2 linked regions of the Macaca mulatta genome follow. The protein of the gene in region 2 purifies or fractionates together with the protein of the main gene of each other region. This does not show direct contact. Links are inferred from orthologs where the notes say so. Each region holds a gene or a part of one and is shown on either strand. Other genes may lie near its edges.

What was found.
Region 1: the proteins of ZNF346 (region 2) and KRR1 purify together in Homo sapiens (affinity purification with mass spectrometry; 3 studies listed by BioGRID and IntAct, with this or other methods). This does not show direct contact. The link is inferred for Macaca mulatta from reciprocal best matches to the Homo sapiens genes ZNF346 and KRR1.

Annotation. Positions count from the first base shown.
Region 1 is NC_133416.1:82,682,428-82,686,810, forward strand, and holds the start of KRR1 (KRR1 small subunit processome component homolog), read right to left. Parts: upstream 2,937-4,383; 5' UTR 2,902-2,936; coding exon 2,817-2,901; intron 1-2,816. UniProt on the Homo sapiens protein: Part of the small subunit (SSU) processome, first precursor of the small eukaryotic ribosomal subunit.
Region 2 is NC_133411.1:185,971,401-185,975,760, forward strand, and holds the start of ZNF346 (zinc finger protein 346), read left to right. Parts: upstream 1-1,528; 5' UTR 1,529-1,571; coding exon 1,572-1,746; intron 1,747-4,360.

The sequences.
Region 1 (4,383 bases), on a different chromosome or scaffold from region 2:
GCCTCATAAGACAAAGTTCCTTAAGAGCAGAATCCCTCTTCATGCCAATTGGCATATGCCAGACAGACAGTGAGCACTCCAGAAACGTGTACTGCATTACACTACCATAAAACTGAAGATCTCAATGCCATTTTGTTTAGTATTTTAAATACAATTAACCTTTCTGACTTTCCTGGAGTGTATGGAACCTGGGTGTATGTGTTTGTATACAACTTCTGAAAGAGGATTCTAGTTTATCTTTCAGTTAATAATCTCGAGTAATTCTAGATTTTCCTAAGCGTTTTGAGTGCCTTATTTCCACATGCGTTTCATAACTATAAAAGGTAGAATCTGTATTATTCTCATTTTATAGAAGATAGTCTAAAAAGGCTAAGTGACTTGCCTAAGGGAACACAAAGCTGACTCAGCCTGGGACTCCTTTCACTACAAGAAAATGCCTAAGGGCCATAAATTATCTTCTGAATCATGTATTTAAAAAACGTGGTACTGAATTTTAAGAACTCCTTAAATTCAACAGCTATACTCTAATTCAGTTATACTAAAAGGTATGCTCCATAGACTTTCAGTATCAGTATAAACTGTTAAGTCTGTCAGAAATGCAATTATTGGGCCCCACTCCAGACCTACTGAATCAGAATCTCTTCGACAAGGGACAGAAGTCTGTGTTTTACCATGCTCAACAGGAGACTCTTAAGCACAGTAAAATTTGAAAAGCAGGGCATTACCCTATGTTATCAACCTCAGGTAAACTTTCTGCTTATACTCACATCCACTTTTCTATTTCTATTTCTGGTTCAAATCACAGACAATTGGCTAGTCTAAGGATTCTCCAATGTCCTTTAAAGAACACAAATTCCACAAAAGTGATTACTTGTGTATTATATACATTTTTTTTTTTTAAGACAGGGCCTCGCTCTGTCACCCAGGCTGGAGTGCAGTGGCTCCATCCCAGGTCACTGCAGCCTGGACCTCCTGGACTCAAGCGATCTATTCTCTTGCCTCAGCCTCGCAAGCAGCTGGTACTACAGGCATGTGCCATAATGTCTGGCTAATTTTTGTTTTTTTTGTTTTTTTTTTTTTTTTGGTAGGGAAAGGGTTTTGCCATGTTGCCCAGGCATATCTCCTGGGCTCAAGCAATCCCCCCTCCTCAGCTTGCCAAAGTGCTGGGATTACAGGCATGAGTCACTGCAACTGGTTACTTGCAATGCTTCCCTGACCAAGTCCCTATCCAATTTAAACACTTCAAAGGCTACGGATCAATTTTTTCAAAGTTCCCACTACAATCTCAGACAAAAAATTGACAAAAGAAATACACAGGAGTTTCACAATTAAGGAAGGCCCAAAACATGTGAAAAGATACGCAACCTCATAGGTGATCAGAAAATGCAAATTAAAACTGCAACCAGATCCCATTTCATACCTACCAAAATGACAGAAATTCAAAATTCAGGTAACATCATGTATTCATATGAATGTAAGGCAATGAGAACTTTCGTCCACTGCTAGTGGGAACAAAACTGACACTAGCACTTTGGAAAAAAGTTAGCATTACTTACACACACCCTACACTTCAGTAATTCCAATCCTATGTTCACAACCTAAAGAAACCCTTGAACATGTTAACCAGAAGACATGTACAAAGATGTTTTAGCAGTACTGTTTATAATTGCAAGCAATAGGAACAATCCAAATGTCCACCGATTGTAAAATGAAAAAAAAAACTGGGGTATAGTCATACAAGGAAACACCACATAACAGTGAAAAGACTAAAACTACACCTACAAGTATCACCCTGTTTGAAAAACAAAGCTAAATCTAAGACACAGAAAAATGCATACGGTCCACTTTCATGTATATAAAATTTAAAAAGAGGCAAAATTAAGCCACTTCGTGACTACAAGAAGAGGAACAGAATGCAACGCAATTCAGAGTGGTTACTTGTGACAGGAAAAGAGAATATGATCTGAGAAGTGCACGTAAGGGTTTGAGGGGTATGGTAATGCTCTATTTTACTTAACAGTCTGAATGCTAGTTTCTTGCATGGTTTTATTAAACTATATATAAGTTGTATCCTCTGCTATGTACGTTACATAATCATTTAATGAGCAACAACGAAGAAACCTTGAAAACTTTCCCAATGCATCTAAATTGAGAGTTCAATGTTTTTAACACTTCTATGAGCCTGGTTGAACAGATCCCCAGGCTATTTCTGACTTCTCTGTCATTCATACTGAAGAAAACGGGTAAAACCAGACCACAACGCAGGAGTTAACAATTAAAAGGTAGCACAACCTAAAGAGCAAGGGCTGTGTCGTCTAGTATTTTAGCAATCTGACAAACAGGAATTGATAAATCTTTCAAACTGTCTTTACTGACAAACTAGAGCTAAGGACATGTCAGATAGCTCCTTTCCCCATATCTCACCCCATTATCAGGGTCGACTCCTGTATATCAGAACTACCTGCTCCCACCTCACCCTATTCCTCATTCCGTCAATGACTTTCAGTCCCCTGCAGGCTACAGGGTTCCGCGGCGCCCTCGGCATTTTCTTAATAATCTTTTACAGAAGACGTATTCAGCAACGGCTTCGCTTTGGGGACCCTTTAGCAAAAGGAATGAATTAGGAACACGTGGGTGGCACCATATCGGCCAGTCGTTCCTGTGGGCCCAGCCAATAATCTTATCAGCGATTATTGTGGTACTTAAATACACAGTACAGGCTCCAGGTGGTTTTATAAGTCCACAAGCAATGAGAAAAAAAAACATCGCAACTCAACGTCCACAAACCCCAGCCTTCGGTTCCCACATAACATCACCTTGGTTCTCCGGCTTTGTCTTCTGGTTACGAAATTCACTTTTTCCAGCCCCTTTTTCTCGCCGCTCTAAAGAGGGAGACGCCATTTTCAAGCTGCTTCCGGTGACGCCGGAAATGAAACTGTTCTTAAATCCTACCGGCTAAAATGCCTACACTCAAAATGAGTTCCGCGGAACTCAGACGAGGAGATCTGCGCAGTTTTCCGTGCGTACGTGCGTTAAAGCCCGCGCTTTTACACACACCGGAGGTTCTCCTACGTGGCCAATGAAGAGCTGGAGACTTTCTCCCAGTATGCACTGCAACCATGGCGTTTGCGTACTGGGACTTGTAGTTTAGCAGGCGGTATAGGCAAATTGGACACTGTGTTATCCGCAGTTTCCTCGTGGCCTCACGGGCTAACCTGGACCACCGGAGTGCGACCAGCCTGTCATTGATGTCATTCATTCTTTCGATAAAAATTTATATGTTGGCCAAATATGCGCTAGATGTTGGGAGGAAGCACAAATATGAGAATACAATGTATATTGGGCCTCCGCTGTAAGAAGTGACAGGAATAGCTACTATTTATTGTGAGAATGCTTTGTTGCAGTACTTTATTTACATTATTTCTAATTTTAAAAACAATGACCAAATTAAACTTTCCAAAGTTGTTTATGATGGTAATCTTCCCGAGTGTTGGTATTTCTCTTTCTAAGTCAGAGGGATGGTAATTCAACATTCTGACGTTTCAGAAGTATTTCAACTAGCCTAAGATTTCTCAAAATCTCTACTCGTTTTCTACCCCCAACATTGCATAGGGCTAAGGTGTGTAGAGAGGTTCATCACTGACTACAAATAACTACACTTTTAGAAGTATAAAAGTTCTTTGACATGCCAAAGACAAGATTTTTTAAAATTATTGATTTTATTGCTTGCATTTCTAAAATTTTCTGCAGCAAATAGGGAAAGTCTTTGATAGGTTAAATTCCTTGCATTAGTGAAATACACGTTTGTCTGATAAATCCACTCTCGTGTATCTTATACAAAAATTTAGGTTTTCATATATGAGATCCATGTATGAAACAGATTGTTACATATGGACAGAAGAACCCAAACGACAGAGCAAAGGTTTTTTGCTTTTATCCTGTGCGTTTTATAAATGACAGGGATTTTATCTCTGTTCTTTTAATTTCCTCAAAAAAATAATGATAAATCCCTAAAATAGAACAAATAGCAACAGGTTAAAGTTATAAAGTGAAGAGTACACCTCATGAAGCAGGTTTTTATCATCCTTATTTTAAGTAACTCAATCACTAATAAGTGAAAGGCCCGTCTTCAAGTCCAGGCAGTTTGACCTAGCAGCTTCAGGGGGCTACTATTCATTAGGAGCTTCAAAAGTGTTAGAAAGAGGGCTGATAGGGGTGAAGGGGAGGGAATAGTGTAGAAGTAATATTTGTGTTAAAAGCCCTTTATTTTCTAGCAAAATTTTCTACATAGGCTTTTATTCCCATTTACATATATATTTTTAATCTTAGTATTGCTCTTATTTGAGAAATATTGAGAATATGATGGAGATGGGAAAATGAAAA
Region 2 (4,360 bases):
CTCATAGTAAATTCTCCGTATTTGAACAAATAAGGTTGAAATAAGCTAGTAATATTAAAAACTTCATTCATTAAACAAATATTTTGTATGTACCTAGGAGGGTCCAGGTTCTATTTCAAAGTGCTGGAGATTCAGGTACAATGAAAAGAGACAAAAGGCTGGGCGCGGTGACATGTGCCTGTAATCCCAGCACTTCGGGAGGCTGAGGTGGGACGATTACGAGGTCAGGAGTTCGAGATCAGCCTAGCTAACATAGTGAAACCCTGTCTTTACCAAAAATACAAAAATTAGCTGGATGCAGTGGCATGTACCTGTAATCCCAGCTACACGGGAGGCTGAAGCAGGAGAATTGCTTGAACCCGGGAGGCGGAAGTTGCAGTGAGCCGAGATCGCATCACTGCACTCCAACGTGGCGACAGAGCAAAACTCCGTCTCAAAAAAAAAAAAGAAAAAGAAAAGAAAATAGACAAAAATCCCTGCCTTCCTGGGGCTTGCCTTCTAGTAGGTAGACAGACAATAAACAAGATAAAAAGTAAAATATATATGAAATAAAGCAGGAAAGGAGGACATGAAGTATGTGTGGAAAAGTAACATTTTAGATGATAGCCAGAGAAGGTATTTTAGATACAGTAGCCAGAGAAGGAAGTGGGAGACTGAGCCATGAAGATATATGGGAGAAATGCACCCCAGGAGGCCTGTGTAACCGGGACAGGAATTAAGGAGTTGGAGACTGAGTGATACATCAGGATCAGGGAGGTTAAGTGAAGTCAGATTGTACAGGGCCTTGTTGGTCAAAGTAAGGACTTTGGCTTTTACTAACAGTGAGATGGGAAGCTGTTGGAGGATTTGAGAACCTAAGTGTCATGATCTGACTTGTCATAAGAGGATCCCTGGGACTGCTGTGCTGTGAATACCAATGAGGTGGCTACTACAATAACCTAGGCAAGAGATGATGGCTCCCAAAGACACGGGAAGGAGCAGCTCTGGGGTTGGAAAATAAAATTTGGGGTCTGACAGCTACATTGGAGAAGCCTATTAGCCATTCGAGTGAACTGTGGAAGAGGCAACTGGATGTGTACAGGTCCGGAGTCTCAGGGAAAATCAGAGCTGGGAGCCGGCACTTGGAACTCAACAAGTAGAATCTATTATTAGTAATACGGAACCTCAGCTGTACTACTACTTACTAGCAGCGAACTGTTGAGTTAACCATTTCTAGGTTCTGGGCCTCAGTTTCCCTGTAAATGAAATGGCGAAAACACTCCCACATAACGGAACCTTGAGAACGAAATGAAAAGTATCAAGGGCTGACCGTGAGGAAGGTGAGAGTCCTGAGCCAAAACCGTACTAGCCTCTCCGGGAGGGGGTGTCACTGCTGCGGAATCAGCGACAGGTTTCCGAATCCACACCACACGCTGGGGGTACCAGAGGTAGCAAAGCAAAATAAGCGCCAGGTACCGCACGGCAGCGCCCAAACCTCGCGAGATTTGTTGGCCGGACCAAGTACCACTCCCCCAATCTCGCGATATTTAGGCGCCTGAGCGGCTCTCCACCGGCGAGGGTTTGCGGGGAAGATGGCGTATCCCGCGCCGGCCACAGTGGAGGCCGCAGACGGCGGAGGGGCCGGGCGTTACAACAGCTCGGAGGAGCTAGAGGGCCAGGAGCCGGATGGGGTGCGCTTTGACCGCGAGAGGGCGCGCCGCCTGTGGGAAGCCGTGTCCGGTGCCCAGCCGGTGGGTAGGGAGGAAGGTGAGTCGGGGGCTTTGGAGGCAGGAAGCCCCTCACCCGCCTGCGCGGCTCGCGGGGAGCTGCGGAAGCGCCTGCGGTCACACCCCCCTGGCCCGCCTCCTTGCGTGCTGCGCTCCGGGACCCCCAGACTTGTGCTCCCCATTCAGGCGCGGGCACCCCAAGAATCGGGCCCCCAGCGCGCTGAGGGTGATCACGGCCGCTCACGCTCAGGCCCAGAGCTTTTCCCCTCCTCCTTCATCAGTCACTACAGCGCAGTTTTTCCCGAATTCGAAGATCGTCATCCCTATGCTTGTCGGAGACCCACAGTCTTTGCCATCCCCGTAATTCAGGCCGAGTGCCCCTCGCCACTCCTTGACTCCTCATCGTCCCAATCTCCAGATTTCCTCGTAGAGCCTCTTGCCTCCCTTCTGTCAGGCCTCACACTTCCGAGGGCTCTGGAAGGCCTTCTCCTTACCCCCGGGTTCCTCCTGGTCTTGGTGACTGAGCCGTGGCTTACCCGTTTTTAGCTCTCTGGCTTCTACTTGCTGGGTTCCTTATTCTAAGGTGGGGACAAGGAGACTGAGAAACTGGTCTGGGTTCGCTTTGACTCCAGCTTCTTTGTGTTCTACACTTGACCCAAAGTTGCTGAGAACAGTATAAGCAAAGCCACGTCAGGGGTCACTTCTGGGCCGAAGTGTGCCAGCTTGCTGCGCACTTGACCTGAGACTGGGTAAGATGGGATGAAAGAAAGAGAAGGATGGGAAAGAGCTGTTCTGACCTTCTTGTGTGACTCCCTTCACCGTCCTTTACAGAGCCAGCTGCTTAATGCTAACCCAAGTGTCCAAGAACTCTATCTGGGCTTCTCTGCTAACCCTGTCAGGTATCTGGAGGGAAATCAGATTTCTCCAGTGATTTGTTTGCTTGCTGAGCAGACTTGTCATGGAAAGTTTAATATGCTATTTGTCAACTGACTGCCCTGGATAAAATTGAAATTTGGACCATATCTAAGGAACATATGTTTAAATTAGGGGTGATACACAGACCTATACCCTGGTATATAATTCTCCAATTTAAAAACAAGTCTAGCCTGTCTCCTAAGTTTATATATATATATATTAAAAAGAAAGGCAGGGCCCCAGAAATGGTATGTGTGTGTATGTGTATATGTGTGTGTATATTTACATATATGTGTATATATAAATATATACACACATACCATTTCTGGGACCCTCTCTCCTTTTTCTTTTTCCTTTTTTTTTTTTTGAGAGAGTCTCCCTCTGTCACCCAGGTTGGAGTGCAGTGGCACAATCCCACCGCAACCTCTGCCTCCCAGGTTCAAGCAGTTCTATGCTGCCCCAGCCCCCGGAGTAGCTGGGATTACAGGTGACCACCATCATGCTCAGCTGATTTTTGTATTTTTAGTAGAGATGGGGTTTGACCATGTTGGCCAGGCTGTTCTCGAACTCCTGACCTCAAGTGATCTGCCTTCCTTGACCTCCCAAAGTGCTGGGATCACAGGCATGAGCCACCACACCCGGCTCTCCTACTTTCAAACTTGTTTGGTAGTTTCCTTGCTCTACCCCAATTTTCCTTTCATTAATTTGACAAACATTCACAGATGTCTGCTCTCGACCCAGAATTGGTTGAGCTTCAGAGCTGGAGTATCAGAGAAAGATATTGTCCTTTCCCTGGAAAGGCTTGCAGTCTAGTCCAGGAAGCAGACACTAAAACAGTTCCAGTGTAATGTAAAGGATGCAGTGCTGAGGAATGTTTTAAGAGTTGGAGGTGCACAAAAGGTGACCTTTGCCCTAGATCTTGAAGCAGAAAACCACTGTGCTCTAAAAAGTGAACTGTCTGCTATGTGTATGTGAGTGTACAGTGGCACTGTTACGACCCATTTCATTTCCCTGTTCTCCTCACTTCTCGCACATTTATATGAAATCTAAGTAGACACCTGCAACATTAAGTTCTACTCACTCTTTTTCTTCTCTTAGCACCTTCATTGAGTTACAGTTTATATACCATACAAGTCGCCCATTGTAAGCATATCGCCAATGATTGTTAGCCAATGTACAGTTGTATAGCCATTACCACAGTCCAGTTTTAGAACATTTCCATCACCCCAATTAGTTCCTTTGAGCTTACTTATATTAAATCCCCACTCCCACCTCCTGCCCTAGGCAACCAGTGATCTGTTTTCTGTCTTGGGTAGTCTTTTGAGTTTGGCTTCTCTCGGCATGTTTTTGAAGGTCAGCCAAGTCATGGTGTGTATTAGTACTTCATTTTTATTGCTAAATAGAATTCCATTGAATGAATATAACACATTCTATTAATCTGTTCATTATTTCTAGACATTTGGATTGTTTCCAGTTTGGAGTTTTTGTGAATAGTGCTGCTGCGAACATTCATGCCCAAGTTTTTGTGTGAACATACGTTTCATTTCTTGAGTATATCCCTAAGAATGGAATTGCTGGGTCATATCGTAACTCTAACATTTTGAAGAACTGCCAAACTTTTCCAAAATGGCTTCACCTTTTATATTTCTGCCTTCAATGTATGAGGGTTTTGCTTTTTCTATAACCTTGACAACACTTGTCTTTTTTGATTATAGGCATTCTAGTGGGCATGTAGTGAT